Oryctolagus cuniculus: one gene and its partners. The protein of the gene in region 7 interacts with the protein of the main gene of each other region in a biochemical or structural test. Links are inferred from orthologs where the notes say so. Each region holds a gene or a part of one and is shown on either strand. Other genes may lie near its edges. The genes, in order: NFE2L2, RICTOR, LRP6, SREBF1, YWHAZ, KLF5 and GSK3B.

What was found.
Region 1: of the proteins of GSK3B (region 7) and NFE2L2, one has a biochemical effect on the other in vitro, tested with the Homo sapiens proteins (2 studies listed by BioGRID). The link is inferred for Oryctolagus cuniculus from reciprocal best matches to the Homo sapiens genes GSK3B and NFE2L2.
Region 2: of the proteins of GSK3B (region 7) and RICTOR, one has a biochemical effect on the other in vitro, tested with the Homo sapiens proteins (2 studies listed by BioGRID). The link is inferred for Oryctolagus cuniculus from reciprocal best matches to the Homo sapiens genes GSK3B and RICTOR.
Region 3: of the proteins of GSK3B (region 7) and LRP6, one has a biochemical effect on the other in vitro, tested with the Homo sapiens proteins (2 studies listed by BioGRID, with this or other methods). The link is inferred for Oryctolagus cuniculus from reciprocal best matches to the Homo sapiens genes GSK3B and LRP6.
Region 4: the proteins of GSK3B (region 7) and SREBF1 form a complex in vitro, tested with the Homo sapiens proteins (2 studies listed by BioGRID, with this or other methods). The link is inferred for Oryctolagus cuniculus from reciprocal best matches to the Homo sapiens genes GSK3B and SREBF1.
Region 5: the proteins of GSK3B (region 7) and YWHAZ form a complex in vitro, tested with the Homo sapiens proteins (2 studies listed by BioGRID). The link is inferred for Oryctolagus cuniculus from reciprocal best matches to the Homo sapiens genes GSK3B and YWHAZ.
Region 6: of the proteins of GSK3B (region 7) and KLF5, one has a biochemical effect on the other in vitro, tested with the Homo sapiens proteins (2 studies listed by BioGRID). The link is inferred for Oryctolagus cuniculus from reciprocal best matches to the Homo sapiens genes GSK3B and KLF5.

Annotation. Positions count from the first base shown.
Region 1 is NC_091434.1:63,717,716-63,721,868, reverse strand, and holds the start of NFE2L2 (nuclear factor erythroid 2-related factor 2), read right to left. Parts: upstream 2,835-4,153; 5' UTR 2,785-2,834; coding exon 2,694-2,784; intron 1-2,693. Other genes in the region: AGPS (alkyldihydroxyacetonephosphate synthase, peroxisomal), read left to right, coding at 2,835-3,160.
Region 2 is NC_091445.1:64,475,272-64,479,557, forward strand, and holds the start of RICTOR (rapamycin-insensitive companion of mTOR), read right to left. Parts: upstream 2,829-4,286; 5' UTR 2,770-2,828; coding exon 2,721-2,769; intron 2,549-2,720; coding exon 2,501-2,548; intron 1,367-2,500; exon of another isoform or gene 1,230-1,366; intron 1-1,229. UniProt on the Homo sapiens protein: Component of the mechanistic target of rapamycin complex 2 (mTORC2), which transduces signals from growth factors to pathways involved in proliferation, cytoskeletal organization, lipogenesis and anabolic output.
Region 3 is NC_091440.1:109,922,197-109,926,540, forward strand, and holds the start of LRP6 (low-density lipoprotein receptor-related protein 6), read right to left. Parts: upstream 2,854-4,344; 5' UTR 2,769-2,853; coding exon 2,714-2,768; intron 1-2,713. UniProt on the Homo sapiens protein: Component of the Wnt-Fzd-LRP5-LRP6 complex that triggers beta-catenin signaling through inducing aggregation of receptor-ligand complexes into ribosome-sized signalosomes.
Region 4 is NC_091448.1:62,549,864-62,553,943, forward strand, and holds the start of SREBF1 (sterol regulatory element-binding protein 1), read right to left. Parts: upstream 2,848-4,080; 5' UTR 2,730-2,847; coding exon 2,622-2,729; intron 1-2,621.
Region 5 is NC_091437.1:126,360,539-126,364,784, forward strand, and holds the start of YWHAZ (14-3-3 protein zeta/delta), read right to left. Parts: upstream 2,828-4,246; 5' UTR 2,687-2,827; intron 2,013-2,686; exon of another isoform or gene 1,967-2,012; intron 1-1,966.
Region 6 is NC_091440.1:39,678,564-39,682,911, forward strand, and holds the start of KLF5 (Krueppel-like factor 5), read right to left. Parts: upstream 2,864-4,348; coding exon 2,443-2,863; intron 1,406-2,442; coding exon 1,346-1,405; intron 1-1,345. UniProt on the Homo sapiens protein: Transcription factor that binds to GC box promoter elements. Activates the transcription of these genes.
Region 7 is NC_091435.1:76,547,997-76,552,141, reverse strand, and holds the start of GSK3B (glycogen synthase kinase-3 beta), read left to right. Parts: upstream 1-1,321; 5' UTR 1,322-1,372; coding exon 1,373-1,460; intron 1,461-4,145. Other genes in the region: transcription factor SOX-4, read right to left, coding at 1-960. UniProt on the Homo sapiens protein: Constitutively active protein kinase that acts as a negative regulator in the hormonal control of glucose homeostasis, Wnt signaling and regulation of transcription factors and microtubules, by phosphorylating and inactivating glycogen synthase (GYS1 or GYS2), EIF2B, CTNNB1/beta-catenin, APC, AXIN1, DPYSL2/CRMP2, JUN, NFATC1/NFATC, MAPT/TAU and MACF1.

The DNA of each region.
Region 1 (4,153 bases), on a different chromosome or scaffold from region 7:
TCCCCAAATGGCTGCAATGGCCAGGGCTGAACCAGGCTGAAGCCAGGAGCCAGGAGCTTTATCTGAGTCTCCCACGTGGATGCAGGGGTCCAAGGACTTCTGTCATCTTGCATTGCTTTCCCAGGCACATTAGCAGGGAGCTGGTTCAGAAGTAGAGTAGCTGGGACTGGAACCAGCACCCAGATGAGATTTCAGCACAGCAGGCAGCAGCTTAAGCCATTACGCTAAAAAGCTGGCCCCAGTATATGGTACTTAACATAACAAACAGTTGTTTTAGAAAAATTTCTTATACTCCTTGAAAAATCTGTATCAGTGTGTTGCTGCAAAGAGTCACAACAGTCTAGATTATGGCTATTTAGCATTTAACAAATTCATAGTATTTCTTAGTTTTGTGCTAAATTATCTTTTAATTTAAAGATTTTACTTATTTGAAAGGCAGAGTTACAGAGAGAGAGGAAAAGGCAGAGAGAGAGAGAGAGAGAGAGAGAGATTGATTGATTTTTTCATCTGCTGGTTCACTCCCCAAATGGCTGCAATGGCCAAGGCTAGGCCTCACTGAAGCCAGGAGCCAGGAGCTTCTTCTGGGTCCCCCTAGGTTGTGTGGGAGCTCAAGTACTTGGGCCATCTGCTGCTGCCTCCCCAGGCACATTAGCACGGAGCTGGACTAGAAGTGGAGCAGCTGGGACTCGAACTGGTGCCCATATGAGATGCCGATATTGCAGGTTGAGGCTTTACCTGCTATGCCACAGCACCAGCCCCATTAAATTATTTTAATAGCTGCAAAAAATACTTTATCATATGAAAAAAATTCTTTTAACCACTTCTCTGTTGCAAGACATTTTTTAAAAAAGATTTTATTAATTTGAGAGGTAGAGTTATAGACAGTAAGAGGGTGAGACAAAGAGAAAGGTCTTCCACTGTTGGTTCACTCTCCAAATGGCCACAACTGCCAGAGTTGGGCTGATCTGAAGCCAGGGAGCCAGGAGCTTCATCTGGGTCTCTCATGTGGGTGTAGGGGCCCAAGGACTTGGGCCATCTTCTACTGCTTTCCCAGGCCATAGCAGAGGGTTGGATTGGAAGAGGAGCAGCCGCGACATAAACTGGCACCCATATGTGATGCTGGCACTGGAAGTGGAGGCTTCACCTGCTACGCCACAGTGCTGGCCCCTGAGGCTAGACATTTGTGTTGTTGTCATTGTGGCTTGGTATCTCTTTGTATATGAATCTCAGAGCCATGAAATCTGCAAAGTTCTGATAATGTATATTTTAGGACTTTTTGGACCACATATTGCATGTTCTGTTTATTTCTTCCTTTTTAAATGAAACAATACTTTTCAACTCTCAAAAACATTAGCTTGAGGGCTGTATAAAAACAGATGCCTGGGGCCGGCGCTATGGCATAGTGGGTATAAGCCGTGGTCTGCTGGGCCAGCATCCCATAAATGGGTGCTGGTGGGAGTCCCAGCTGCTGCACTTCAGACACAGCTCCCTGCTAATATGCCTGGGAAAGCAGCAGAAGATGGCTCAAGTCCTTAGTCCCTGCACCCACATGGAAGACCCGGAGGAAGCTCCAGGCTCCTGACTTCAGATTGGCCCAGCTCTGGCTGCTGTGGACATTTGGGGAGTGAACCTGCCGGATAGGGGACCTTTCTCCCTGCCTCACTATAACTCTGCCTTTCAAATAAACAATATATCTTAAAAACAAAGAGTTGGCTCTCACCTAATAACTTGCCTAGGCTTAACCAACAGATTTATCAGATGTGGGCCTCTTTGGAAGCTCACGGTGAAGGTATAAACTCAACTGTGGATGTTGGCAAGAGCCTAGGTGTCAGCTGACAATAGGTCATGGGGTTTTGGTGTTCTTCGGAGCCCTCTGCCAATAGTTTTCCTTTTGTTAAGAAAGCATAACGTGAAGGTGCTGATCCCGTGGAGACAACACAATGGCCAGTGGCATCGCCAGGTTTTGTGTAGGCTAATTCTTAAGTAAGGCACTGGCTGGAAAGGGCTGTGGGGCAGTCTTAGGAGATGCCCCCTTAATTTCACCAAGTGAAAATAATTTTATCAAGAAATTAAGCTAACTTGTAAATAACTGAGAAGTCTCAAGAGCAGCCAGCCGTTCAGTAATTTTATATGTAGCAATAAAAACAAAAACGAACCACCTGGCCTCTATTCGCGTCAGAATCCAGAAACGAATGGAAAAAGAAAAACTGCAACTCAGTTTTAGCAATTAACTTAGCAAGTTCTCAGACGAGCTGGATATGTCTGTGAGTCTCTGTTCATCTGTAAGATGGAGATTACTGGTTTGAGTTCTATCATTAAGCACAGTGCCATATTCGAAACAGGTGATGAGAAATGAGAAAATGAAGGGCCGTTTGCTTTGATGGTCAGAGGTAATGACAGTTTTGAGCTACTTTAGTGACCTTCACTCCCACCCCCACCCCCCACCGCGGGGGAGAGCAGAGGCGCAGCACTAGCATTTCTCTGGGCAAAGGAAGGTGCTGGTCTTCTAGTCAGGTCCGGTAACACCGCCTACTCCTGCTCCGAAGCGCTTACCCCTAAAAAGCTCCTCGAGAGGCCCAGGCCACACCCGAAGGCACCTCCCAGGATTCCAGGACTACTGCGGGGGCGCTTGTGGTTTGGCTCTTGGACCAGCTCAGCCCAGTTGGGCCAATAAGGGGTCGGCTCAAACTCACCTGCTCGGCAGGTGCTCCCGGCCGAGGCGTGACCAAGGCGGGCGGGCGGGCGCGGTGGGCGGAGGCAGAAAATGTGAAGCTCCAGGCGCATGGCACCCGCCGCCCAGTCGCCGCGGTGGCTGCCGGGATGCGCCGCAGCGAATGGTCGCGCCGGGCGCCGCTCTGAGTGACCTTTCACCCGCGCCCAGCGGACCCGGGCGGCAGCACAAGGCGGAAGCCATGGCGGAGGCGGCGGCTGCAGCGGGCGGGACCGGCGCGGGCGCGAGCTCGGGCTCTGGAGCTGACCGGGATCGGGACCCAGATCGCGCAGGGCGGCGGCTGCGGGTTCTCTCGGGCCATCTGCTGGGCCGGCCCCAGGACGCTCTGAGTACCAATGAGTGCAGAGCGCGGAGAGCCGCGGCGGCGGCCACGGCGGCGCCCACGGCCACTCCCGCCGTGCAAGAGTCGGGCATCATCCCCAAGAAGCGGTGAGTACGGCCGAGGGAAGGAGCTGGTGGCGAGGGAGCAGGCTGGGCCTGTGCTGCGTGGGGGGCGGGGGGCGGGGAGGGACAGGGAAGAGGGGTACAGAAGGTGACATGAGTGGGCAGAAAGCATCCCAGTCGCGCAAAGTACGGACCCACCTCTCTGTCAGGAGACTGGACGGGAGCCTGGACTCTACCGGGACAGGATGGTGGACTGTGGCCACTGTGTGAGGGTGACAGACCCGAAGAATTCTTACAGGGGAAGAGTTTTAAAGGAGTCCCTTCCCTTGGGTTCTTAATGCCAGGAATTCATTCCTTTTCTTGAACGAATACTTAGGGGCTGTGGTTTTGGAATGGGTAACAGGGATTCTGTTAGGCTTCTCCCAGGAGGTTTCAGGTTAGCACTAGAAGATGATCACAGGGTCCCCTTCTAATTCGTGAAAGCCTGAGTGTGTGTTGGGGGGGGGGGGGCGTTGGTGTCCTGGAAAAAGGTACCTTTTGGCTTCTGTGGAGTAGACTTCTACTTGCTTATGGGCATGGTCTTTGACTTCGAGGGAGGAAACCAATGAGTGAGTGGGTAAGAAGCAATGAGCCATAAACACTAGTTAGTGATGGAGGGTGTGGTGTTGAACTCCGTGTAACCAGCAGCTAAAAGACAAGGATCTCTGGATGAAGGATATTTCTGACAGATCTTGAGATGTGACTTCTGGGGAAATCTTAATCTGATGAAATTTACTGGGAGGAGCTGTTTGCTGAGATGTGGCTTTGAGTGCATAAACTCTTGAGAGTGAAATAAGATGTTGCTAATGTCTAATGGGTACTTGCAAAGTATCAGAGATGTGCTAAATCCGTCATTTCTTTTATTCCTTCCCAAGCCCTGAGATAGGTACAGTTTTATTCTGTCTTACAGATGAAGTTAAAAAAGAAAATTTTTAGCTTAGCAGATACACTGTGTGGCAGTTTAGAATTGGAAAGCACATCAAATTTACTTCAGTGCCA
Region 2 (4,286 bases), on a different chromosome or scaffold from region 7:
TCATCACACACTAATGGCTCCCTTAGGGGTTACAATGATTTTAACTTCTATTTTATAAAGAACTTTGTTAGATATCTATACAATAAACCTCTCAAAGATTACATGAAAATAATTAGAGTAAGAGAAAACGGCGCCTTGACATTAATCAAAAAGTTATTTGGTTGCCTGAACTTTATCTTTTTTACATACTGTAATTCAATCCACAAACAGCTGCCCTTCAGCTGTAACCCAGACTGCCTCACAGTTCTCAAATCATTACTAAAGTTTAATTCCTCATGAACTTTCTTCAAGTTAGATCCACAAGCCTTTTTTGAACAATGAAACGTCTGTCAGAATAATAGTTTCTTTAAACAGTGTTGCTATAAAATGAATCTAACTCAGATTTTCTTTATTATAAACTTCCTTATGATTCAGGAATAGAGTTCTCATGTAACCTCTCACTCATAGTTGTAAATCACTTGTGAAATTGGTTTCAACTGGCTGTGTACATGTATTCCAAACTGAAATACATTTTGTCAGGGCAAACAAACAGTAGTCTCTGTATTATTTTTATATAATCCTGGAAATGCTTATGAACAGTTATTTATAAAATAAATTATTAGAGAATATAGCATTTTAAATAATAAACATACAGAGCTACATGTGTACCTGAGTAAAACTAGAGTAAACCCAAGGTATCCAAATTTATATCTGAGCTTTTATACAACCAAAATTTTTGATATCAGAAAAACAATGAAATACAAATATAGCTCAACAAATTCAATAAATTCAACAAAATTTAAGGTACAACTAAAATTTATTTCTAGCATGCCCAAGTAGGTTTTTAATGCACAAATTGACCTCAAGTTTACCTAGTATGTACTTTTCACCTCCCTCTAAAAACACACATGCTTGTGTGTGTGTGTGTGTACACAAATCTCTAATAAACTACATCTGTTATTTAACTCAAAATGCTAAATTTCAGGCCTGTTAAGAATGACCCTTATTTTTGTTCACAGGTTTCCTTGAAAACAGCAAACATTTCATACAAATTTTTTCCCTATGTCTGTCATATAGAGTTTTCAAACTACTGCACAAAAGCCGAAAGGCTGACGACATGTTTCTTCACTACTTTCTAACCTCTAAGCTGCTGAAAAACTGCTCCAAAGCAGTGCACTGGTGATCGTAATCAGTGCCATTTTTAGTACTCAAGCCCTACTATATTGTATTTTTGAAACTCTCTTGCCTACCAAAGTTCACGAAAACTCCGTCCTTGAAGTTGCAGAATAAAACACGGTTACAAAAATACACTCTCGTAGCTCCATGAAAACCGGCCTTCCAGTTTACAAAGGCTACCTCCCATCAGGACATACAGAACAAATCATACTACGCTTTAATTCAGCGATGATCCTCAACACCAAGCCCACGTCCACCATAAATACGTGGAGAGCGATTGTTACGTCAAGAACATAGGGTTAAGTAGCACATCGACCGCGTATCGACTGTTTACGACGACTTCAACTTCCTACAGCGCTTTACAGAGCTCAACAAGCAACTGATGCTATGCAGCTGAACCACGTTACACCACAAGCTACAGCTGGTACGCAACGGGACTTGGCGCGAACCAGCAGACCAAATCCTGTTTATCGTGCAGCAGAAAAGAACCTCGTCGCAAGTACCCAATCACGCAATCTTCGGCAAGACAAGGTGGAATAAAACCCCACTACGGTCCCGTCCCTGCTATGGAGAATACGGAGTGGAGCCGGAGCCGGTCCTTCAAAAGAGAAGCCAGGGTCACTCAGTTCCCAAGGTGTAAACAAACCCGTCGCCACTGCAGGAGGTAAACAATGAACCTGCAGCAGGGCGAGGGGGCGGTCTTCGGCGAAGCACGGTCCCAGCGGCCCGGGAAACAGAAACAGAAGGAAAACACGGCGGAAACCAGCCACGCAGCAGTCCTGACCGGCTCCAGGGCTCAGCACCGAGCTACCGATGCTGGCGGTCCCCACAGGACGCGGGGCAAAGAGAAAAAAAAAAAAAAAAAGGCAGGCACGCAGTGAGCAAAAAAGCCAGCAGGTCCGGCTTCTGCGCCGGGAGACGGGGAGGGCAGGATGTGGTCGCTCTTCCCTCAAACATCCTCCTGCAACCCAAATAACAACCTCCACCTCCCTCCGGCCGGCCCCGGGAGCCGGCGGCACGAGCTTCGGCACGGGTGGAAGCCGCTGCCCCCGGGGGCCACCGAGCCCAGGGGTCGCCGGCTCCGCCAGTTCCGCTCGCGGCTCCCCAGCCGCCCCCCCCCCCCGCGGCAGCCCGAGGCCCCCAGAGAAGGGTTCAGGCAGAGTGAAGCGGGCACCGGGAAGGGGGATGGGTTCAGCGAGGCGGCCTGGCGGGGCTCCCGCGGGCCGGCAGGCGGGGCTCGGGCTGCGCCCCCCGTCCCCGTCGCGGGTCCCGTGCGAGGCCCGCCCCGGCCCCAGCTCCTCCCCAGCAGCGCGCCCTCGCCGGCGCTCTCGGCGCCCCGCGTTACCTCGGGTCAGATCCAGCGGGACGTTCTCCTCGCCGCTGTCATTCCGCCCTGCGCGAAACAGACACACAGCCCCAATTAGGATTCGCTCGCAGGCCAGCGGCGGCTGCCCAGGCTCCGGCCAGCGCCCCCGCTCCGCTCCCCCGACCCAGGGCCAGGGGAAGGCAAGTGCCAGGGGTGGCGGGCGCCGAGAGGTGAGGAGTGAGGGCTGCAGCGCGCTTACCTCGTATTCGGAGGTTCTTCAGAGAGCGGCCGCGGCCGATCGCCGCCATATTGACGGGTTTCAGTCACAACACCGGAAACCTCGCCCAATCGCGCGAGAACCCCTTCCCCTCCCCGCGCGCCGCGCCCGCCCCCCGCGGCATCGCCCCCGCCCCCTCGGCGGCGGGTGGTGCCGGCTGCGCTCCGGCCGCGGAGGGAGCGCCGCGTCCACCCGGGGTCCGGGAGGAGGAGCTCGTGGCGTCCGCCCGCCCCGGCCCAGGGAGGCGAGGCGAGCGAGCGGCTGGGCCGTCGGAGGGCAAGTCCTCCGGGAGGGGACGTTTCCCACGCGGGGAGTCCCATTGATGGAGTTGGCGGCGTGGAGGATGCTTCTCCTCCGGCCGCCGCGGACACCAGGCGTCCGAGCCGAGCGAGGGGCGCAGGGGCAGAGGAGGGCGGCTGCGGCCGAGCGGCCACCTGCTCGGAGCGCGTGCTGCCGCCGGCTTAGCCCTGGAATCCGCGGCCGCGCTCAGACGAGCGTGCGGAGCGGCGCCCCGCGCAGTGTAGACTCCCGTAAATCCCGCGCTGCGAGAAGAGACTCGCTTTTCCCTGACCAAGTTAACGCGTCGCTGAGTTCTGTTCCTAGCCGTGCCACGCTCAGCTCTGGGGGGTGGGCAGAGTCGGGGCGGCGGGGTAGTGGAGTTGGAGCCCACCTGGCCGAGGTGGCGGGAGGGCCCCGGCCCGGGAGCGGAGTGCGCCCCGCGCGCCCCGCGCAGGCCCCGGGACGCGGTTTCCTCTCTGCGGGGGCCGAGAGCGGAGTCCCGGCTTGTGTCTGCAACTCCCGGAACGGTGGCAGATGGGGCGGTTGTGAAGGCGTATTTCTGTACACAAATCGAGCAGTTGGGAAGGACAGGAGTTTTAATTCGGGCGAGTGTTCTTTGATACCCTAATAGACACATCTGACCCCTGATGCAGCAACTTCCTCTGGGACCAGATGGACTCTAAAGAGGATGAGCTCTCTCGCTCTTGGTCCTCGACTCGTCTTCTAACTCCCTAGAGACTGAACGTGGGGCTCTATACCCTTAACCCCTTCTCTTTCTCAGCTGCCAGGAAATACAACCTCTACCCTAAAAAGAAATGTTGGAGTTTTTTGGTTTTTTTTTTTTTTTTTTTTTTTGCTGTTGCTAATAATAGTGAACAAGTGGGACCACTTCAATGACCAAACTTGAGAGGTGTGTGAAGTGCAGCAGCCGTTTCAAAAAACGATACGAATCTAGTAGGTTAATAAGAAACAATGGTTCACATTATTGAGTCAAGCAAGAGGTTACAAATTTCCTGGTTTGGAAACTTCTGAAATACACACACATTAAAAGGATGCATCACAAAATGGATGTGTCCACAGATAGAAGTCTGAAAAGATAGACATCGGAATGCTGGTTGGTTTTCCTCCCTCAGTTGTGGAATTACGTATGCTCTGGATGTTTTAAATGTCCTATAGTGCATGTGTATTTCATTCATATATATATATATGTCACTTGTAAAGGTGCATTGTAAGAAAAGTAAAGTAGGAGCACGGCTTTCTTACATGCTA
Region 3 (4,344 bases), on a different chromosome or scaffold from region 7:
CATCTGCAAAGCACTTTTTATTCATGACTTCATTTAATATATCTGAAAACCCTGTAAATTCATCAGGTAGCTATCATCAGCCACATTTTACAGGTAAAGAATCTGGGGCTCAGAGAAGTTTGCTATGAAGTAGTAAAGTTTGGGCTTTTAACCTAAGATTTTGGTATTGAAAAATATCCCCAAATGTTTCCACTACACCTCATCACCTCATCATCCAATGGTAGGAACAGGACACAGCCTGGGAAATAATATTCCCTGGATTTCAGCTACTTACAAAACAGGGCTACAAGAACAAAAAGTCTCCCAAGCTCTTTCTTACACAATCCATCACATACCCAATGGTAAAGCTCCAACTCTTCTGTGAGGAAAAATGACCTTGATGAAACAAACTAGTCACACTTTTCTCCTTGGAGTCCAAGGCTGACTAAATATCATTTTTGTATCTGTAGATGACATTATCAAGGAAGGAAGACAATCTAAATTATGACCACTTCACATCAAACATAATTTTAGTTCAAGTAACAAGCACACACTGCTAAATGCTGGTAAACAGAAAAGACCACCTCATACCATTATGATGCTACAACATAAAATGAGCTCCACTTCTTAAACTATCACCTCTTCTAGGTCTTGCTACACAATATAATACTTCAAAACATTTCTCCAAATGCAACCTCTCTCAACTCCAATGAACACATCCAACTCTGGGCTCAAACCTGGTGTTAAAATAAATTAGTAGCATTTACATCACACTCTTCCCCTCCAAGAAATACAACTGGGCAACCAGAAGAACCCCCAGGTTATGGGTTTAGACTTCCCCAAGACTCCTGTAACCATCTGGCATTCTTTGGTTAATTCTATTAGCCTTCTGTCTTAAAATATATGTGCACAGGGGCCGGTGCCAAGGCTCACTTGGTTAATCCTCCACCTGCGACGCCAGCATCCCATATGGGTGCTGGGTTCTAGTCCCGGCTGCTCCGCTTCTAGTCCAGCTCTCTGCTGTGGCCCGAAAAGGCAGTGGTGGACGGCCCAAGTGCTTAGGCCCCTGAACCCCGTGGGAGACCAGGAGGAAGCGCCTGGCTCCTGGCTTCGGATCTGCGTAGCGGCCTTTTGAGGGGGGTGAACCAAGGAAGGAAGACTTTTTCTCTCTCACTGTCTAACTCTATCTATCAAATAATATATATATATATGCACAGCCCTATGACACATACGATTGTTTCTCACAGTTACAGCTGTGAAACTTTCAACAGTGACTGTAACAGTAAAGTACAGATACTATACTGATTATAACGCCCAAGTACATAACATAAAATTGCATTACATTCTCTGGGGTTTACCTGTGGAAATGGACCGTCTGGATTAAGTGTTAATCGTTAAGGATAAATGTAACACGCAATCCTAATAGTGGTGCAGAAGAGTAAAGAAAATATCCCTTCTACATCAAAAAGGTCAGTTCCTGTCACCCAAAAATACATCCACACATGCGCACAGAAACGACGCATCTGTCACATTTCTAACACAAGATCGTTGATTACTGTCATGTGCTGTACCTGGTAAGTTTGGGAGGGCTTCACACAACTTGTCTGTTACATCAGTAGCTAGAAAACCTCCAGAGACCTCACACCTGCGAAGACCTGACCAGGACCACGAGCCAGAATTTTAACAAAACCACAACTACCACACTTTGGACTTTAAATTCCTCCGCTGGGAGCTGCTGAAGAGCCCGGGACTCCTCTCCACAAGTTTTGAGAAGAGCTGTGCAAAACTTGCGGACCAGCCCAAACCCAGTTCACACACGAGAAGTCACAGCCAGCGTGTCAGCACTGCAGGGCAATGCAACACATCCCGGGACCCCGGAATGGAAGCGACTCCCGGAGTAAATTACCCAGTCTGTGTTATTTACCCAAGTACCAAGTAATCCCCCACCCCCACCCCCACCCCCGGGGTGGGGTGGGGGTGCGCAGCAAATGACCATCCAGGTCCCAGGACTGGGGCCTCCGCATGCAAGCACAACTTTCCCACTCGCTGCTGCCAACTCCGCAAATACCAGGGCTTCCCAGAGCCACGTCGGTCTCGGAGCACGGGCCGCCGCTCGGGTGATCCCTACGCTGCCACGCTTGCCCTATAACCCCGGAGTCACTTTTCCAACTGTGCCCTCGCCCGGGATCGTCCCAGCCCAAGCGGAAGCCAAATGATCAGTAGCAACCAAGGCCTGGAAAAATCGCCAAGAGGGCTTAGAAAGTTCACCTGAGAGATCGGGGGAAGGTGGGGGTTTCCAGGGCGCATCTCGGACTCCCCACGTTTTTGGTTTTTGTTTGTTTTTTTAAGCCGAACTCGGAGCAAAGCCCCTTTCCCCTGAGGACGCCCGGCGGCCGGAGGCGCACACTCAGTCATTCCGCCAGAGCCGGCGGCCAGCGCTTCCCCGAGACAGGCAGCCCGGAGGGACGCGCAGCTTTGTCCACGCCGAGGTCTGCAAGGCCGGGCTGGGGTCTGGATCGTGGCCGGGCGGAGCGCACAGCCCCTGCGCCCGGGCCCCTTTCTCTCGCTCCTTCCCCACGACCAGGCCTCTCGGCGCTCCTCTTCCCCTCTCCTCCTCCCTCGCTCCCCTCCCCCCCAGACACACAAAACAAGGCCACCTCCCCCCACCCCCAAATCCCACCAACTTTCCAGGGCGCCCCCCCCCCCAGCCCCGCGCCGCGCGCGCTCTGCCCACCTCTCAGGAGCACGCAGAAACTGCAGGCCAGGAGGCTCCTCAGCACGGCCCCCATCTTCCCGGCTCGCGTTCTCTCCTCTCACCGGCGAGAGGCGACCAGATGAGGGGGAGGCGAGGAGCCGGGGCGGCCGCCGCAGCGGCAGAGCTGCGCGATCATGCTCCCCGGCTTCCCCGAGACAGAAGAAGAAAGAAAGAGGCACGTCAAGGCTCCGCGCGCGCCGCCGCCGCCGCCGCCCTCTCTACCGCGCCGCTCTGCCCCGGGCTCGCGCGACGCCAGCGTCTGCTCCCATCCCGCCGCCTCCTCCCCCGGCGCCCCACTTCCCCCGCGCAGCTCCTCATTCAGCCTCTTCCTCTCGCGCAGCGGCGCAGGGATACGGCCGCCCGCCGTCGCCAAGGGTCGCCGTGGAGGTCTCCCTGCGCGCGGCCGAGCCCCCCTCCCGCGGCGCCGCTTCCCGCGCACTTGGGCAAAGAAGAGGAAAACCGCGCGTTCGGCCTCCGCGGCGAGACCCCGGGAGATGCGTGGGGCGAGCAGAGGCGAGCGGCTCCAGGAAAGGCTGCCGGGCCGCGCATTCCGATGGGATTCTTTCCCGGGCTGGCCGCCTCGGCCCTCCCCGCGGAGGGCGTGAGGCGACGTCGAACAACATTGGAGCCGGCGTGGTCGGGACTACTTTCTGCGGCTCGGCCGGGCCGCCCCCGGCCCCGGTCTTTGTGCGGCGGACGCCGGACGAGCCAGGTGGAGCTCCCGGGGTGCGGCGGCCGCCAGCGGGGCCTGCGAGGTGCGGGGGGCCGGCGAGCGGGTCCACGCTCCAGGAGCCACGGCGGAGTCCCTCACGGGGTAATGCACTCGGTCTTCGGGGTTGGAAATCAGTTTGAACACCTTTTTTTTTTTTTTAAGGAAAATAAAAACCAACGCTGGTCACACCAGCTTTAAACGTGGATCTGCTGAGGTAGGTTCACATGCCAAGGCCGAAGTGCAATTCTTGTTTTCCTCCTGCCTTCCCAGAGACACCTGCTCCCCGAGTGAAGGCCGGCAAGACGTAAAAATGTGTAAACTGGAGGAGTAAAATTTCCAAGACGAGTGCATGGGCACCTAAGCCTGCAAAAGGGACAGTTGGACAAAGCTGAGTTTGCATTTAATAATGTGTGATTGGCACGCTTTGATGGTCGAGGCTCAGAAGGAAGAGATCCCCCAGCGCTTCGGCTTTTGCACAGCCTCTGGCTTCTCCCAGTGCACAGAGCCGTTGGGGAGCAGGGGCGTAGACACCCCTTGAAATCCCCCCAACACCCCGACAGTCAGGTGCCTTCTGTGCAGCTGTCACCCACCCTTCCCAGAAGGCAGCCGGGCCAGGAAATGCAGTCACTCCCGGGATCTTGCTCACACCCCAGAGACACTGGAGTTCACCTAGTGCCGGCACGTGCACGATCAGGTTTGAGGCTCGAAACATCCTGGGATGCGCAGGTGTTGACGCTTAGTGTCTTCATTGCACCCAGAAGGAAAGTAAGCTGAGAGGTCCGGTGACTTACCCAAGGCCGCTCAGGCAGGGACCTGAACCCAACCCGGGTCAGTGACTTCAGACACTGCCCGCCCAGGAAACACATGCTGGGGTCGAGGCCAGGCAGGTCTGTAAGCT
Region 4 (4,080 bases), on a different chromosome or scaffold from region 7:
ATCCAGGCAGCAGGTGTCCCGAGTGATGGCTGTAACCACTGTGCCCGCCAAGCTCCCAGCCACGAGGGAACACGCATGTCATGTCCCTGCGCTGCCCCCTCCCCAGCCAGCCCAGCTCGTCCCTGGGGCGCCTCTCCACCCTCACTTCTCTCAGGGGAACTGGCTTTCCCACTGGCTCTTCCAGACCGTGTCCAACCTGCCCAGGGCCAAGTCTGGTGGCAGCCCCCATAGAGGCTTCTGTAGAAATCCTCTCCCCAGCAAATCTCCCCTCCCAGAGCCCAGACCTTAGGAACCAAAGTGAGGATCCCAGCACAGGCTGGCCTCGGGGGTGGGAGGGGGCCCACTGCGGCACAGGGTAGGAGAACAGAACCACTGTGGTGTCTTTAGCAGGTGGAAGTGCGGGGGAAGCGGCTGGCCGCTGGCTGCGACATGGAACAAAGCAGATCCTCATTGTTGGGAACCGGATGGATGCTACTGTAATTCACCAAAAAAAAAAAAAATGCAGACAGCCTGGGGGGTGGGGGAGGAAAGGGCAGAAACCATACAGTTACAAGGAGTCCAAGTGGGCAGCTGATGATGGGCCCGCTACTTGGTACACATACTGGAAACTTGCATAGGGCGCTACTGGAAACTGTTGCATAGCTCGCTTAGAATGTATCTATTTCCCAGTGTGTAAAGTTGGTACCTTAATACACTTGTGGGTGTTTTGTTAAAGATTTATTTCTCTCATTGGAAAGGCAGAGTTATAAAGAGAGAGAGAGAGACAGAGAGAGAATCTTTCATCCTTTTAACAGTTGGGGCTGGGTCAGCCTGAAGCCAGGAGCTTCTTCTGGGTCTCCCATGTGGGTACAGGGGCCCAAGGACTTGGGCCATCTTCTACTGCTTTCCCAGGTGCATTAACAGGGGCCTGGATTGGAAGTGGAGCAGCCAGGACTCAAACCGGCACCCCCATGGGATGCCAGTATTGTAGGCGGTGGCTTTATGGGCTATGCCACAACTCTCTGGTCCCTGTTTTTGAAAAAGTGGATGAAAGGGTCAGTATTACAACTGGGTAGGTTAAGCCACCACCTGTGGCACCAGCATCCGAGATAAGCACTTGGTTGGAGTCCCGGCTGCTCCACTTCTGATCCAGCTCCCTGCTGTGGCCTGGGAAAGCAGCGGAAGATGGCCCAAGTGCTTGGGCCCCTGCACCCACGTGGGAGACCTGGATGGACTTTCCCACTTGGCTGTTGTAGTCAGAACCAGCAGATGGAAGACCTCTCTAACTCTAACTCTCTCTCTGACTCTAACTCTAACTCACTCTAACTCTTTGCCTTTCAAAGAAATAAATCCATCTTAAAAAAAAAAAAAAAAGTGGATTAAGCTTCAGGGCTTATTTCTGGTGGGTAGATTTAAGAAACATTTTCTTTCTTTTGTTAATCAACACTTCCTACTTTTTCTACAATGGAAAAAAAAGAAACCCAATGTGTTGCATAACCAGGAAAAAGAACAGAAAGGGTGAGTAAAGACAGAGAGAGAGACCCTCCCCCATAGTGGGCAGACCTCAGCCACTGCCCACCGCCCCCGCCTGGTCCTGCAGGGCTCCAGCCTCCCTCGCTGTCGCCGATGAGCACTCAAGCCCCGTCTGACCCCCCAACGACGCCCCCCACGTGGCTGCCCAAGCCCCGGGAGTCAGGGAGAAGGCCAGGCACAGATCTGAGTCAACTGTCCCAGCTCCCTCGTGAAGGGGGCACTTACGGGGGGAGGAAAGGGGGGACTGAGACTCGGTGGGCGGGCGAGGGGGCTCCAGCAGGATGGCAAAGGGTCCAGCTTCAACTCTGACCCTCCGAGCCCACGGGGATCCCTGTAAGTCGCAGCCATAGGCTGCGCAGGGCAGCGGCCACCAGGGTGCCAGCGTCCATGCAGGTTGCTCCTTTGCCCTTAGCCTTCGCGTCTTCCCACGGCAGGTGCATGGGGGAACTTCCTGGGACTTGGGGTTCGCCGGGCCTGCCACGTGGAAGCACCTGCAGCCCGGAGCTGCTCCTTAGGGACAGGGCGCCCCGCCTGGGCACTGCCCGGGGCCTCTACCCTCGCCCCGCTGGCCCCGGGGCTGGCCCTCAAGTCTGAGCTGTCTGCGAACCCTCCGCGTCTACGACGTGGTGGTGGGGTGGAGTGGGGTGGGCTTGGATGGTGGGGGCCTGGCCTTCGGTGGTGGCTTTACGACGCGTGCGCAGAACCCAGACCCTCTCCGGCGGCGGCGGCGGCGGCTGGCAAAGAGGCCGCACCGTGCGCACGCGCAGAGGCGCCTGCGCCCGGCTGAACTCTCAGGCCGGAGGGAAATGACCGTGAGTAACCCCGCGCGGACGTCACGGCGGGGGCGGGGCCTCGGCGACGCCCGGGTCCCAAGCTCCAGCCGCGGCCGCCAACGGGGCTGGGGAACGGGGCCGGCCCCCGCGGCGCAGGGCCCGGGACGCGTCCAGGCGCACGTGTCCTCCCCGCCCCGCCAGCGCCGAGCTGCCCCGGGACCCCCGGCGCGACCCCGCCCAGGCGGCCCGCAGCCCCGGGAAGCCCCCGCGTGTCCCCCACGCCGGCCGGGGAGACAAAGGCCGGGGCGCCTCCTGCGAGTCCCCCACCCTCCGCACCCACCGCCCCGGCGCACCTTCGATGTCCGTCAGCAGCGCCGCGTCCAGCTCGCACGGCTCGGCCAGCGCCTGCTCCAAGGCCGCCTCGCTGAAGGGCGGCTCGTCCATGGTGCCGGGCCCGCCGCCGCCGCCGCCGCCCCCGCTCCGCGCGTTCGAGTCCCGCGCCGGCCAAGTCGCTGGCGGCCCGGCGCAAAGTTCCTCGGAAACTGGGTTTCCCCGGGCAGCGACTCGGACTCCGCAGGGCGGGCGCGGCGGGGGCGGGGCCTGGCGGGAGGTCCCGCCCCCCTGGGTAGCCGGCTCCGCCCCCACGCCACGCCCCTCCGGCGGAACCGTGGAGCCCCCGCCGGGTCTCCGCCGGCCGCAGGGGCACAGAGCCTGTGGCCAGCCGCAGCGAGCAAGGGGGCCGAGTGGAAGACCCCACCAGGATGGGTTCCAACGCTGGGGTCTCTAAACCGGGGGTCGGGGGCGCGACCCGCTCAGTTCCCTCTGTCTGGCTGTGTGGGGCTCCAAGTGACAGCCGTCACTCTGCCTCGGTTTCCCCCATCTGCAGACGGACCTGGGGCCCGGGCTCGGCCTGTGGAGTCTGCCTAGCTCCTGCGGCGGGGAAGATAGTGTCTCATCCGGTCTTTATCTCTGGTTTCCTCCCAGACTGAGCTATGGGTAGGAAGCAAGACCCCAGACTAAACAGTGACCCGCCCGAAGCTGCAAACCCCAGAGCCAGGCCAGGGGTCTCAATGCGGGAGATCGACATCACTCAGAAAGAGGCCCCCTTGGTGGAGGGCAGCCGAGGAGACTCAGCAGGGGTCTGGACCTTCCGCCCACCCCCACCCCCACCCTCTCCCCAGGCTCCGCCAGTCAGGGCAAGTCCAAGACCGCCCCCGGCTGACTCCAGTTATATAGTCTGTCCGCTCACGTCCACACCCGTGCAGGATGCAGCCTGCAAGGGGGTGGGGGTGCCCTGCAGGGAGAAGCCAGCTGCAGACACCCGGGACCTGGGGCTCAACCTGCACACAGATAACCCACACCAGGGTCTCTAAACTACAGCGCCTGCACAGGCATCCTGCTCAGGGACCCCACCCAGGGCTTGCTCTCTCCAGATGCTGGCTGGGGTCTCCCAGGCTCGCCACCCCCCCCCCCGCCCCCCAGGAGGCCTCTGGCATCCGGTGACTTTCCCTGAAAATTCAAACAAGCCCTTCTTCCCAGGGGACAGGGATGGGATTAGGGGGTGCCAGGCGACGCCCCCAAGAACACTTTTCTTCCAAGTCGGGCGGCTGAACTGGGCACCGGGTACCGACAGAGGCAGGTACGGAATCCCCAGGGGCCATGGTCTTGGGGATCCGCCTCGCCATTACCGAAATGGGTTCAGCATAGCTCCAGATAACAGGGGCCGGTTAAAGCAAGGTCACTGCAAAGGCCCACGGGACCTGAGCCTGGTTGAAGCCCCCCCGCCCCGTGCTGC
Region 5 (4,246 bases), on a different chromosome or scaffold from region 7:
ACCTGTGGTAAGTAAGTTATATCAACACTTCAAACCTAGTGTCTGTGAAAGACTGTTCACTGGAGGAATTCAAATGCAGCCTCACAAAAGGATGGTCACGACAGGGAAAAAAAAACTCACAACAACAATGGAGAGGGAAATTCACAGCAAGGAACACCAGTTTTGCACATTTGGTCAAAAGGCTGCCTTTTAAAATTACCCCTTATCTCACTTGACCAAAAATCTCTATCATGAGACCCAAAATTAGAACAGCTTCTCCTCCTTCATGAAAACAAGGCAAACAAAGAACAGTGCCACTACCGTCATCCCTATCTCCAGAACCACAGTCCATGTCTTTTTTCTTTCCTAATACTTACTCTGATCAGGGATGATTAAATTTAGTTGGTGTCACTCCCACCCAATATAGCAACATTTGCCAGCTGATCACAGCATGACAATTTCTGGAACACACAAATTGCTCATTCTTAAAATATTCTGAATATAAAGCCATCACCAAGGATCACTCTCTAACTGACCCTAAGGCCTCCTTTATACCTTCTTATGTGCATACATGCTTCACAAAGTGGCCCAAGGGTCCCTTTCATTTCAATTCCATCCGAGAGCAGTAAAATTCATCACATTGGAAGCATCTGCGTTTCCAATGTCCCCGTTCCAGTTTCAAAATAGAATTACTGCACCGCTTCTAGTACTCACAATTTAATGAGATGTTATCACTCAAGCTGCCCTTTCCCCTAGCTCTCCTTCCCTCATTTAAGGTTCCCCGTACTTTTCAGGTTACCTCCACTGCATTTATCTTATAAGATAGCCTTTCAGACGGTGCTCAACAGCAGAGAAAGGTACTACACCGTACTGTGATACCACAGAACAAAGGATTTAAAAGCACACACAGAGCCTGAAATGAAATGTACTATTAGATTAAAACGGGGGACGGAAGGGCCACTGTCATCTCCCAGGGGAACTGACTTCCCAATATCTCATTCTTTATCTTCCCAGGGAAACCCCACCATACTGCTTAAAAACTCAAAAGGAAACTGGCCAGAGCGTATGCGAGGAGGGCCATCTCAATGTGCAAAATAGTTAACATTTATCATCGAACATTTCTTCTCGGTTCTTCAAAAATAACCCTTCCCATAAAATCGCCAAACATTTTCTGCTTAATATTGCTTCTAAAGAAAAATGGCTTAAAACCAATACAAAGGTTTTCCTCTACAACCCCTCCGGGACAAGGGGAAGTGGATTAGGTTTCTCGGAGTAACTAGTGCTCCAAGGCCTCGCCTCTATATGGAGATGACTCGCCGCACCCATTTAACCCTTCCGCGGCGTCAGGCGTCGGGGAGGGTGCAACGCAAACCCGCAGACCGTGACTTTAAAGTGCAAAGCCTCCGTGCGCGCAATCCGCAACCACCCCTCCTCCTAGGCCCCGCCCAAGCCGGTGCCTTCGCACAAGTCGCCGACTCTCCCTCTTTGTCATGGCGGATCTGTGTCAAGGAGCCCAACCTACCGCCGAGTGTTAACCCCCCGCCCAGAGCAGGAGGGCGGAGCAGCCCGCGCCCCCGCCCAAGTGGAGGGGGGCGCCCGACCCGGGGACCGAGACGCCAGCACCGCCCGCAGAAGCGGAACCACTACCAGCTCGGCCGCGGACACACCCCGCTCTCCCACCCCGCGTCTTCCCCGCCACCGATGCCCATCCAGAGTCCAAGGACCCGACAGCTGCAGCAGGTGGGGGAGGGGGCGGAGAGCCACACCCAGCCCGGCGAGGCCACCACCGGCTGTTACGCTCGGGGCCCGCAAAGCAGGATCAGGGCCCCTGGTTCCAGCCCGGGGGGGGGGGGGGGGGGGCCGGAGAGCGAGAGCAGCCGAGCGCCGTCTCCCCCACCTCCCCTACCCGACCTGGGCCCGGAGCTCCCCCGCGCCACCCCCGCCCCACCACAAGTAGAAAAGAACCAGTCCCCTCCCCCATCCCAACCGGGAAAATTCAAGTCCTTCCTCCCGCCGCCGCCGCCGCCGGTCCCGGGCCGGCCCCTCCCCACGCCGGCTGGCCCTCGGCGGCCTCGCCCTGCCCGACGTGGGGCAGCGCCGAGCGCGGCGGCCCGGTCCCCGCGGCCCCGGCCCCTCCCGGCCGCGCCGCGCCCCGGGTGGGGGAGGGCGATCGCACCGCGGGGCGCGGAGGCTGCGCCCGGGAGCGGGGGAGGGGGCGAGCCGGGGAACCGGATCGGGGAGGGGGCGGCCTCACCTGCGCCACTGCAATGCCCGCCGCGGCCGCCAAGTCATTCTCCCGGGCGGAAGCGGGGACGCACGGGCCAGGGTGGGGACGGAACGCGGCCGGGGCGCCTCGGCCGCGCCTCGGCAGCCGTGGGGAGCCGGCGGCCGGGGGATCCCCGGGGATCTCGTGTCGGGGGCGCCTTTCCCATCCCCCCCCACACACCCGGGGGATCCAGAGAGGGGAGCGGGCGCCGATCGGGGCCGAGGCACTGGCCCGGAAACATGTAGCCGGAGGCGGCCGCAAGCCGCCCGCCCGAGTCCTGCGGAAGAGAAGCCGCCGCCCGTGTCTGCCTGAGGAGACTCCGCCTCAGCTCCGCGCCGCTACCGCCCGACGGCCGGGCCGATGGGGCCGCGGAGGCGAGGTCGGCTCCCAAGCCTTCCGAGGGCCGGCCGGGGGCGAGGCGGCTGCGGCCGGGTCCCTTACCTGTGTCCGGAGTAGGAGCCGACAGACGGACGGAGGCTCACCGGGCTCTGGGCGGCGGCGGAGAGGCTGAGACTCTGTCCCTGAATCTCGCTGCTCACAGGCTACAGCCGCTCCGCAGACACGGGGTTTCCTCCAATCACCAGCCCCGGCAGCAGGGGCACCACACGCACGATGACGTCAAACGCTGCTATGGCAACCGTTGATTGGTGCCCACAGCTCCGGGGGCCTTAGCGCAACCGCCGCTCCCCGGCGCGCGCCCTACCCGCCCGCGCTAGAGGGCGAGCGAAGGAGCGCGCGTCCTCGCCCCGCGACCGGCGCTCGGCTTCCACCTTGTCTACTCGTTCCCCGAGTGCGCCTGGGCAGGAAGCTGCTGTACTTCCCTCCCCACCGCCACCCCGCTTCCTCGTCTTCCTCTCGGACGCCGCGCCCCCCCCCCCCGCCCCTATCCTCCGGCTCTCCCTTCCGCTAATCCTACGGGAAGAAAATGTGTCCCCACCCCCACTTCAGCGTTCGACCTGGCCTGCGCCTGCGCCAATCACTCCCTCTTCAGAAGGGGCTCCGCTTCAGCAACATCCGGGACCTTTCGCTCGCGCCCCCACCCCCCCCGCCCCCGCCCTGAGGCCTGGCCCGCCCCGGGGTCCGGGGTCCGTGCTTCGCGGTGGTGACTGCCGTAGGGCGGTCCGAGGGCTGGATTACGGGGCCGGCTGGGGCGGCCGGGCATTGTGAGCGGCTTTTGGGGGAAGGGGCAGGGCGAGGGCGGGGCCGCGTGCGGCGCGCTCCCCGCAGGACCCCGCCCGGCCGTGCGCCCGCGGCTGCCCAGGGCGGGGCGGACCTGGGTGCGCGGCGCCTGCCTGCCGCGGCCACGGCCGCCGCTTTACCTGTCGGCGCGGGGGAAGAGGCCTTAGACCTTTTAAGGTTCGGAAAAGAGGACGGAGCGACCAGCCCCTAAGTGTGGCTGAGTGACGGGCAGCTTTTCCAATCGGGAGCTTGGGATCCTCGCCCGGTGACAGCGGCGAGAGGACAATGGGTGGGCGCCGAGGCGGGGGCGACAGGCACGGCCTGGCGGAGACGCGGTCACTCTCAGAAAGCCTCGCTCCCGAGCGGGAGAGGCCGGCTGCTTAGGTGGACGCCAGCACACGAAACGGCTGCCTTTCCCGTTGGGTAGTTTGGGTTTTTTTTCCCCCCTACCAAATCAGACTTGGCTATAGAACATAAAGGTCATAGCCATTTTGTCTCCGAAGGCTAGATCTGAGCAAAGTCCTAGTGCCCAGGGCCCCGGCTGACCCAGCCCGGCGGCAGGGAGAGGGGGCAGAGGAGCGGAAATTGCAGGTGTCTCGCGGCCCGGCTCCACCCAGCCGGCGGAAGGAAGTGCGGAGAGCTGCAGTCACAGCGGAAGATGCCCGCCCAGCACCCTGCACCGTGCACGCGTGTTAGTGCTGAGGACTGCCCAGTGCTCGGGTGACCTGCAAAACCACGCAGCAGCCGTGGAAGGCTGGTGGTTGTCAGGGACTCTTGCGGTGCCCTCCTTGGGTGCACAGCCCCTTGGCCCAATACCTTTAT
Region 6 (4,348 bases), on a different chromosome or scaffold from region 7:
AATTTGTCTATATTTAAAAACCCGAGACCAAAATAACCCATTCATTTCATAGATAGAGGAAATGGCTTTTCTTTAAAAGCGGTTTCTCAAAAAGTCTTGTAACCTACCACCATTGTCGCCGATATTACTCTGATTTTAATAAGTAGTGTTTATCACTGGGATATCAAGCAATTCTAACATGCACACAAAATGTCTGCAACCATGTTCCTCTCAGGACTCTATCTCAGCACTGACCTTTGTTCAAAGGCTTTTACTTTTTAATGTAGCAGTTAGAGATAACTACTTCATTTATCAAAACTCAATTTCCATAGTAACATCTAGCCTGGGGAGATTCAAGTCCTCACACTAATCCAACAACCCATTCAAAGGAACTGTTGAATACTTTGGTTTCCATAGCAATGATGGAATAATACATTTTGCTAGGTCATTGCTTTTATTAGCAAACTTATTCTTTGAACTTTAGGTAAGGCTGCATTTATTGAAGGGAAAACAGTCACTTTATATAAGTTCTTTGCTTTAGGGCTGTTCTTTTAAGAAAATTACAAGGAGTAACCATCTATATATTAAAAAATATTTTGGGTATTTGGACGCGTTTCATGAAGTATGCCACCTAGTTTCACCTTAAAATGCATTTTAAAATTAAGTCTCTGAAAAGTGACTATCGTGGATTTAACAAAACAAGCAGACACTTTTAAAATGAAAGGGGCTATAGTTAAAAGTACATTTTAAACAAAGATGAAATCTCTCAAATAAATATACCCAATTTGTAGAATCCAATTTGTAGAATAATTTTTAAAATATTACCCCATTTCTAACCACTTGACTTTAATACTCGGCAATTTCAGCCCTACCTTTCAGCAAGTACAGAAAATACGTGAAACAGGTATTTCACACTAAACGTGAAATCAGAGATAACAGACACCGCTCAGCAGCCATAGCGCACATGCCAGGTGGAAAGGTTTTTGGTGTTCACAGTGGCTCTGTGGAAGCAAAATGATTTGCTACAAAGGAAGAAAATTAATTTCATTTTCCCCCCCTCAAGACTGAACCAGCAGTGCCATTAAAAGTTTTAAAGTCCATTAGTAAACATCGTTGTTTAGATTTTTCAGTAATTAATCCTATGTGAGGTGACAGGCAAGGCGTTAGTGAGGGAACATCAGCCTTCCTGGAACCAGACTTTTTCATGGAACTGAATTTTGAGCCAAGCCAGTACTGAAAAGGTAGGCCATTAAAAAATAAAAGTTGACAGAAGAAAGAAGAGATCAAACACGTGTTGGCTTTTAAAAGGATGAATACCACTTACACTATTTACACAACTCCCAGTATTAACAAGAAAATTACATACCAGTGTGAGTCCTCAGGTGAGCTTTTAAATGAGAAGACTTTGTATAAACTTTTGTGCAGCCTAAAATGAAGGAGAAGAACAGCTTGTCATTTCGCAGAGCCTTTTGAAACCTTTACATCTGATGATTCAGTCTTTAAAATCTGACTTTAAAGAAGAAATCTCTAGTGCTAGATGAGATATTTGAAGTTTCAGTTTTAAAAGTCTTTGCGTGCTCCCCCATTATCTTATTAAAGGCATAAAGTGATCGGTTTCATCTATCGCCTTAGTAGGAAAGAACACACAAAATCGGGCCAAACTACAAATAGAACGTTTGTGTTTATATTCCAGTAGGTAGGTTATACTAGCAACACACAGTTCAGCAACTAACAGCTACTATAGTATGTTTTTTAAAAAATTTCAATGGCTCTAGAACTACAATGCTAAGCCATTATCTAAGATGACTACAATTTTCTGTACTCCGACATTTCTTGTTTTTTCATTTAGCACGTCATGCCATATCATGTACCATAGTCAATAAATTATGCCCTGTATTAAACATAAACTAGCTTACGCCAGCAACTTGTAAATATACTCATTACTGTCATCAATTTATATTTTCAGCTGCATCCCTCATTCAAGAATGAGCATATGCTATCAGAAGCTACCATAAATCTACCCTGGACCGTCTCGTAGCTGTTATCAGCTAGCTGTCCACAGCGCCCGTTTCATTTCTACACAATATTTCACCCCCCCCAATATTTTTCCAGGCACTTAATCTATAATAAAAAACTGCAATTCATTAGATTATCTTAAAGTAAATGTAAACTCTGTAATGTGTGTGAAACTCAAATGTACTGCTGAAGAGAAAAAAGTTCAAGATAACTTTTCTCCAGAGTATTCTAGACATTTTTTAAATATATAAAAATAAGCAATAGACTACTAACTTGTTTCATACCACAGTAAAGCACAAAAACAGGGTATGAAATGAACAACGTAGGTGTTACTGTCAAGGTTCCTATATAAATGTAAGGTCTGAGTTTGGAAGAGACACAACTGCACACCTGTACAGACACACAAACACTATTGATTGTCGCTCCACCCCAGTGTAGATGACATACCAGGGTAATCGCAGTAGTGGATGCGGCGTTTCTCCAGGTCGGGGTTACTCCTTCTATTGTATCTGACGGGTTGGATGTTTTGCGAATTGACTGGCAGGGTGGCAGGTAAATTTGGATTGTGAATTGCCAGCTTGGAAGCAATGGTAGCAGCATAGGATGGCGGTGGGGTTAAATTCTGGAGCATCTCTGCTTGTCTATCAGGACTTCCAGGCTCTGAGCTCGGTGGTGATGGGGGAAAGTAAGTGGCCTGTTGTGGCAGAAACTGACTTGGCATTGTGTATGTGCAAGGGGGCATGCCCTGGAACTGTTTCATTGCAGTCTGTGGAACGGCAGAGGTGTGTGTGTTCAGGCCTGCCATGGCGGCTGACATAGAAACATTGAGAGTGTCCATCACTGCTGTCTGGTTTGTAGAACTGGGCATATCTAGATCCGGTGTGTTCAGCAGCTGGTACAGGTGGCCCTGCTGGGGAGGGACAGAAAGATGAAGATCTGGTGTAGGAAGTTCTTGTTTGATGAAGATATTGTTCACCTCTGGAGCTGCGGCCTGGTGGGAGCTGAAAATACTGGTGAACTCGGGGAGGGCCTGGGTCGGGGCCGGAGGAGGGGCGGTTGTTTCACTCTGGTGGCTGAAAATGGTAACAGGCTCTGTCTTGATGTGTGTTACGCACGGTCTCTGGGACTTGTAGAGGCCAGTTCTCAGGTGAGTGATGTCAGGGAGGAAGACGTTCATGTTGATACTGTAAGGCAGCCCTTCACTGTCAGTGAAGAACTGGTCTACCACCGAGGCACTGTCTCGTCTATACTTTTTATGTTCTGGAATTATTGGAACTGGAGGCAGCTGAGGTGTCAGATACTTTTCCATTTCACATCTTGTCTAAAAAAGAAGAGACACAAACACGCATAATCCACCTGATTCAAACGTGCTCTTTTTAAAAAACCTCTTACACCCTCCAATCCCGACATAAAGTACTAGGACAAACTCCTAAGTGTTGCTTATAAATGGACCAGGTTTATTTTGTCAATTGTGTAATAACTGGTTCACCAAAACCTTATGAAACTCTAACATGCATTTGATAAAAATCGCTCCCCTTTATCAGTCCCAGACAAAAAAAGTGAAAAAAAAAAGGCAAATCAAGAAAAAAAAGGAAGCAAACAGAAATCATATTCCTCTGTGATGCAATAGTAGGACAAACAGGATTCCCTGCCCCATTACACAGTCAAGTGTGCAATTCAAGTACGAGGGCAGTAATGAAATATTGCCAAACTACCTCAATTCTAGTTAAGCTTAACATTCTTACACTCGCACAACTCTACAAATCTTGTTTGCAGTTTTTTTTTTTTTTTTTTGCTTGGCAAGGTATTTCTGAAATACCTCATCTAAAACATTCTTCAGCTAGTTCAGTGCCTCTTCTTGTTTACGATTTAATGGAAACCTAAATACAATGTTTTGGCAAAACACAGTATCCACTGAAACAAAACAGTTTCACATTTAGCATTTGATCTAAATGTTGATTTTAATCAGTAGATTCGGTAATTGGTTAATATGATAATGAAATGTTCCTATTCATATCCCTATCTCAAACAGATCTTTAATTACCTAGGGGGAAATCACTCCCTTGGTAGCCGGGTAGGTGGGGAGAGGCTGCTGATGGGCTAGCACAGTCATCAGCCAAACATTTATCATGTCCTCCCCAGTGGGCCGGCGCTACATTCCCCCTCTCTCTGCAAAAAGCTCAGTCATGCCTTATCCTCTAGGTATCTCCTAGGCAGGAGAGTGACAAACTCAAATAACCACATAGTTTTCAAGGGGTGATTTTTTTTAAGAACATGATCCAGCTAGTAACAAGCTGCCCTCAGTCTTTTCACAGCTATCTTTTCTCCTAGAATAACATAAGCCCCCCCCCCC
Region 7 (4,145 bases):
AGAACAAGCCGAATCCACCTTCTTTCCGTTCGGATGCCTTCGGCATTTTCCGCTCTCTAGGCGAGGCTTCCCGGGGGCCCATTCTAATTGGCTCTTCAGGCCGATCGGCTTTTTCCGGGAGGAGCCGTAAAGAAACGACGCCCGTGATTGGCTTCGCTGGGGGTTCGGCTCCGCCGCCGAAGAGGGCGGGCGTTGGGCTCGGCCGGCGATTCCCAGACGCCTGTTACGCGGGCGGCGGGGCGCGGGGCGGTATAAGGCTGGGTGGGGGAGGAAGGAGGCGGAGGACGAGTAGGAGGCGGGGAGAGGGAGGGGGAGGGGGGAAGGCGCTAGGCGGCTGCGCAGACGGAGCTCCTCACACAGAGCAGCCCCCGACCCGGGCGAATGCGGGTTTGTGCTGCCGCTGCCGCTGCCGCCGCCGCCGCCCGGGCCGAGTGACAAAGGAAGGAAGGAAGCGAGGAGGAGCCGGCCCCGCAGCCGCTGACAGGGCTCCGGACTGGGGGCACAGCACGGACACTTCCTCAGCGGACACGGAGCTGAGGCGCGGGGCGTGAGGGCGGCCGCGCTGGTGCTTTGGACGGGGGAGGGGGCCCCGAGGGAGACGGAAGCGGTTGCCGGGTTCCCATGTCCCCGGCGTATGGGGAGCAGTCGAGGAGCCGCTGCCTGGGGTCTGAAGGGAGCTGCCTCCGCCACCGCCGCCGCCATGGCCGCTGGATCCAGCCGCCGCCTGCAGCTGCTCCTGGCGCAATGAGGAGAGGAGCCGCCGCCGCCGCCCGCCTCTGACTGACTCGCGACGCCGCCGCCCTCCAGGACGCCGGGCCCCCGCCGGATCCCGCCGCTGCCGGAGCCGCAGCGTTTCCCGTCGCATCTCCGAGCCGCCCCCTCCCTCTCCCTCCCTCCTTCCCATCCCCCCTTCTCTTCAAGCGTGAGACTCGTGATCCTTCCGCCGCTTCCCTTCTTCATTGACTCGGAAAAAAATCCCCGAGGAAAATATAAAATCCAAAGTACTTATTTTCAATCAAGTATTTGTCCCCATTTCACGTGATTTTTTTTAAGGAGTCCCCCCTCCCAGGAAAGGGAGGGGAAAGAATTGTGTTTTTTTTTTCCCCTCCCCCAGCCCCAAATCATCTATATGTTAAATATCCGTACGGATCCGTCTTGAAGGAGAATACATCGCTCGTGTTTTTTTTTTTTTTTTTTTTTTTTTTAATATAGCTATACAAAAGAAGTGAAAAGCCAAGAGGACGAAGTCTTTTTTTTTCCTTTCTTGTGGGAGAACTTAATGCTGCATTTATCATTAACCTAACACCCCAATATAAAACAAAAGGAAGAAAAGGAGGAAGGAAGGAAAAGGTGATTCGGGAAGAGAGTGATCATGTCAGGGCGGCCCAGAACCACCTCCTTTGCGGAGAGCTGCAAGCCAGTGCAGCAGCCTTCAGCTTTTGGCAGCATGAAAGTTAGCAGTGAGTATTGATTTTATTTTACACCCCTTCTCCGTCTCACCCCTAAAATAAGCAACCTCGAAGTCCTAGAACCTTAACATACTAGACCTGATGGAACACTCACCAGAGCTAATGGAAAAGAGCAAGACCTGTCTTCAGTCGAGGATGAGGCAGCTCCCTCTTTTCTCCTCCCATAACCCCCTCCCTCGGTCTCATTAACCTTGAGTTCAGAGAGTACGATTTTTATTTCGATGATTCGATTTGAAACGTTTCTTGTGCTTTCCTTGCTACTGATGGTCGCCTTTATCCAGTGCTTGGGTGTTTCCACTTGGAAATTGTGATGGAAGCGTTTGCTTGCCGACCCTTTTGAATAAAGAGGACTAAACGACTCATAAACCATTATGTGCATTTGCAGAGTGTTTGTCTTTTGGAACGAGGGAGGAAATTCTGGTTAGCTCAAGTCTCGGGTTATCACAGCTTTGTGTACTTCATGGAGACATGAAATGTCCCAGTCTCCTAACGTTTCTCTTCGTGCTGGTGTAACTATACAAAGTATTTGTTCTTAACCTGGGGATGAACTTGCTCAGTAACCAGCATTCATGTGTGGAGGTGATCATCGCTCCCTCCCTTTACAAGGGGCTGATGGGAACAGATAAATATCCAGCAGCAGTAGCATCTCCAAATACATTGTCTTGAATTGGATAAGTGGTTTAATCTGTTATCTCTTAACCTTCCTGTTTTGGCATTACCAATCTGCCACCATATAATTTGTTTAATCAAAAGGTAACTTGGAAGGAGGTCCAAGTTTTGATTGAGGCGTATGTTGTCATAATGCCAGATACTAAGTTAAATGTTAATTGTCACTGACTCATTGTCATTTAAGTTCAATTTTGACGTGCTGTTGCATTTGTTACTTGTTAAAATATTCTAGAGTACAGAGGATTCCTTTTTAGGAATACTTAAAATATCCTTGCATCAGTTTTCTTGTAGATAAGATTGAATTTAGTTAGAGGAACATAGATTTAGTCCTTTCCATCATAGTTTTTGCAGAAGGTTGTCCTTCTGGAAATGGTAGGGCTGTCTGGGATGTGGTCTCAGGGTTGTTACCAGACTGTACTTTCACAAAGTCTGTTTTCTTGAGGTGTTTGTTATACTAAGTATCCAGTGATCCCACAGAGCTCTGTTTGTGAAGGGGTTTGTGTGGCAATTAATGGCAGGTTATTTAAATATACTTCCAGATTTTGACAAAAAAAAATGTTTATATTGTTTCCTTATTCTCTGAGAAAGGGGCATGAAGAGGGCAAACTATTTTGTTGCCTAGAGGAGCTAAGAGAACTGAAGAGCCTTAAACAGTAGATTCTGTTATGTGGACTTGATTACATCCTTAAGCAATATAAAATGTTTACTTTTAATTGAACTCAAGATTCCAATCACTTTGGCTTTTGGAACTTGCCTGAAACAGGATAGTCCAAGGTAATAGCTGAATGGGAGATTATTTTTGAGTTAATTTTTTTTTCAGTGACTAGCTAGTAGAGAATGCAGAGTATGTAAAGAGGGAAGCTGATTATGCATCTTTTTAGAGAAGGGTCATGCTTTCTAAGCCCTTCATGGGGTCATTTGAAAGAAGTTTTTTATTCTGGGGGTAATTTTTAGCTATGATGAAGCAAATATTACAATAGCTAATTAAGAGCCTCTTGTGATACTGCAGTGATTGTATGTTTTACATCTTGGTAATAATTAAAAAACACTGAAAGTCAGTTTTAGGAATATAATTATTAGATGTATTTCAGAGATCTATAATGCTAGTGTATAATGCTAAATTCTGGGATTTTATATTTTGTTTCTAGGATTTTCTTTGAAGATGACTCCTTAATTCTTGATGGCATACATGTTGACCAAGAATGGTGTGATTTTTGTAAAGTATGTAGGTTAAAATGTTTGATTTTCTGTTATCATGTCCTTCAACTTAATATTTAAAAAGTTGGAATTTATTGCTGAATATGCATTTTTGATAAGCCTAGCTTTAGGGATATTTAGAAGAAAGGGGAGTCATTAGGCATTTGTTAGGTGCTGGTGTTTTCAGGACCCATGTTCAAAAGAGATACATATGAAATTATAGTCCTTGGCTTCAAAAAAAGCTGGTCACTTAGTAGTAGAGGCAATTTATGGGAAAAACAATGAAAACAATGGCATTACGACTGCAAGGCAAAATACAAATTGAATCCTTTGTTCAGAGGGACAAAGAATAAAGGGGTGAGACATGCATTGGAGGGAGAAGGCTTCCTGTAGAGAAGGTGTGCTTTTAAGACAGGTGTTAAAGAAGGCTGTGTCTTGAATTGGTGGAGAAGCATGAAAGATTCTAGGTGAAAGGACTCCAGGCACAGAGATGGTGAGTTTTGTAGGAGAGGCAATAAATAAGCTGGTAAATCTGAATTATAAAAGCCTAAGTAGGAAAATAACAGGTAAAATTTGAGAAATATTGGAAGGATAGCTGACAGAGGGCAAGGGGTCTGAAAAAGTTTGACATTCATGAGAGCTCTGAACAGTTTTTTTTTTTTATAAACTTTATTTATTTTAATTTTATTGGAAAGGCAGAGAGACAGATCTTCTCATCTGCTGCTTCACTCCACAAATGGTCACAACAGCCAGGGCTGGACCAGGCCTAAGGCAGGAGCTGGAACTCAGTCTGAGTCTTCCACTTGGGTG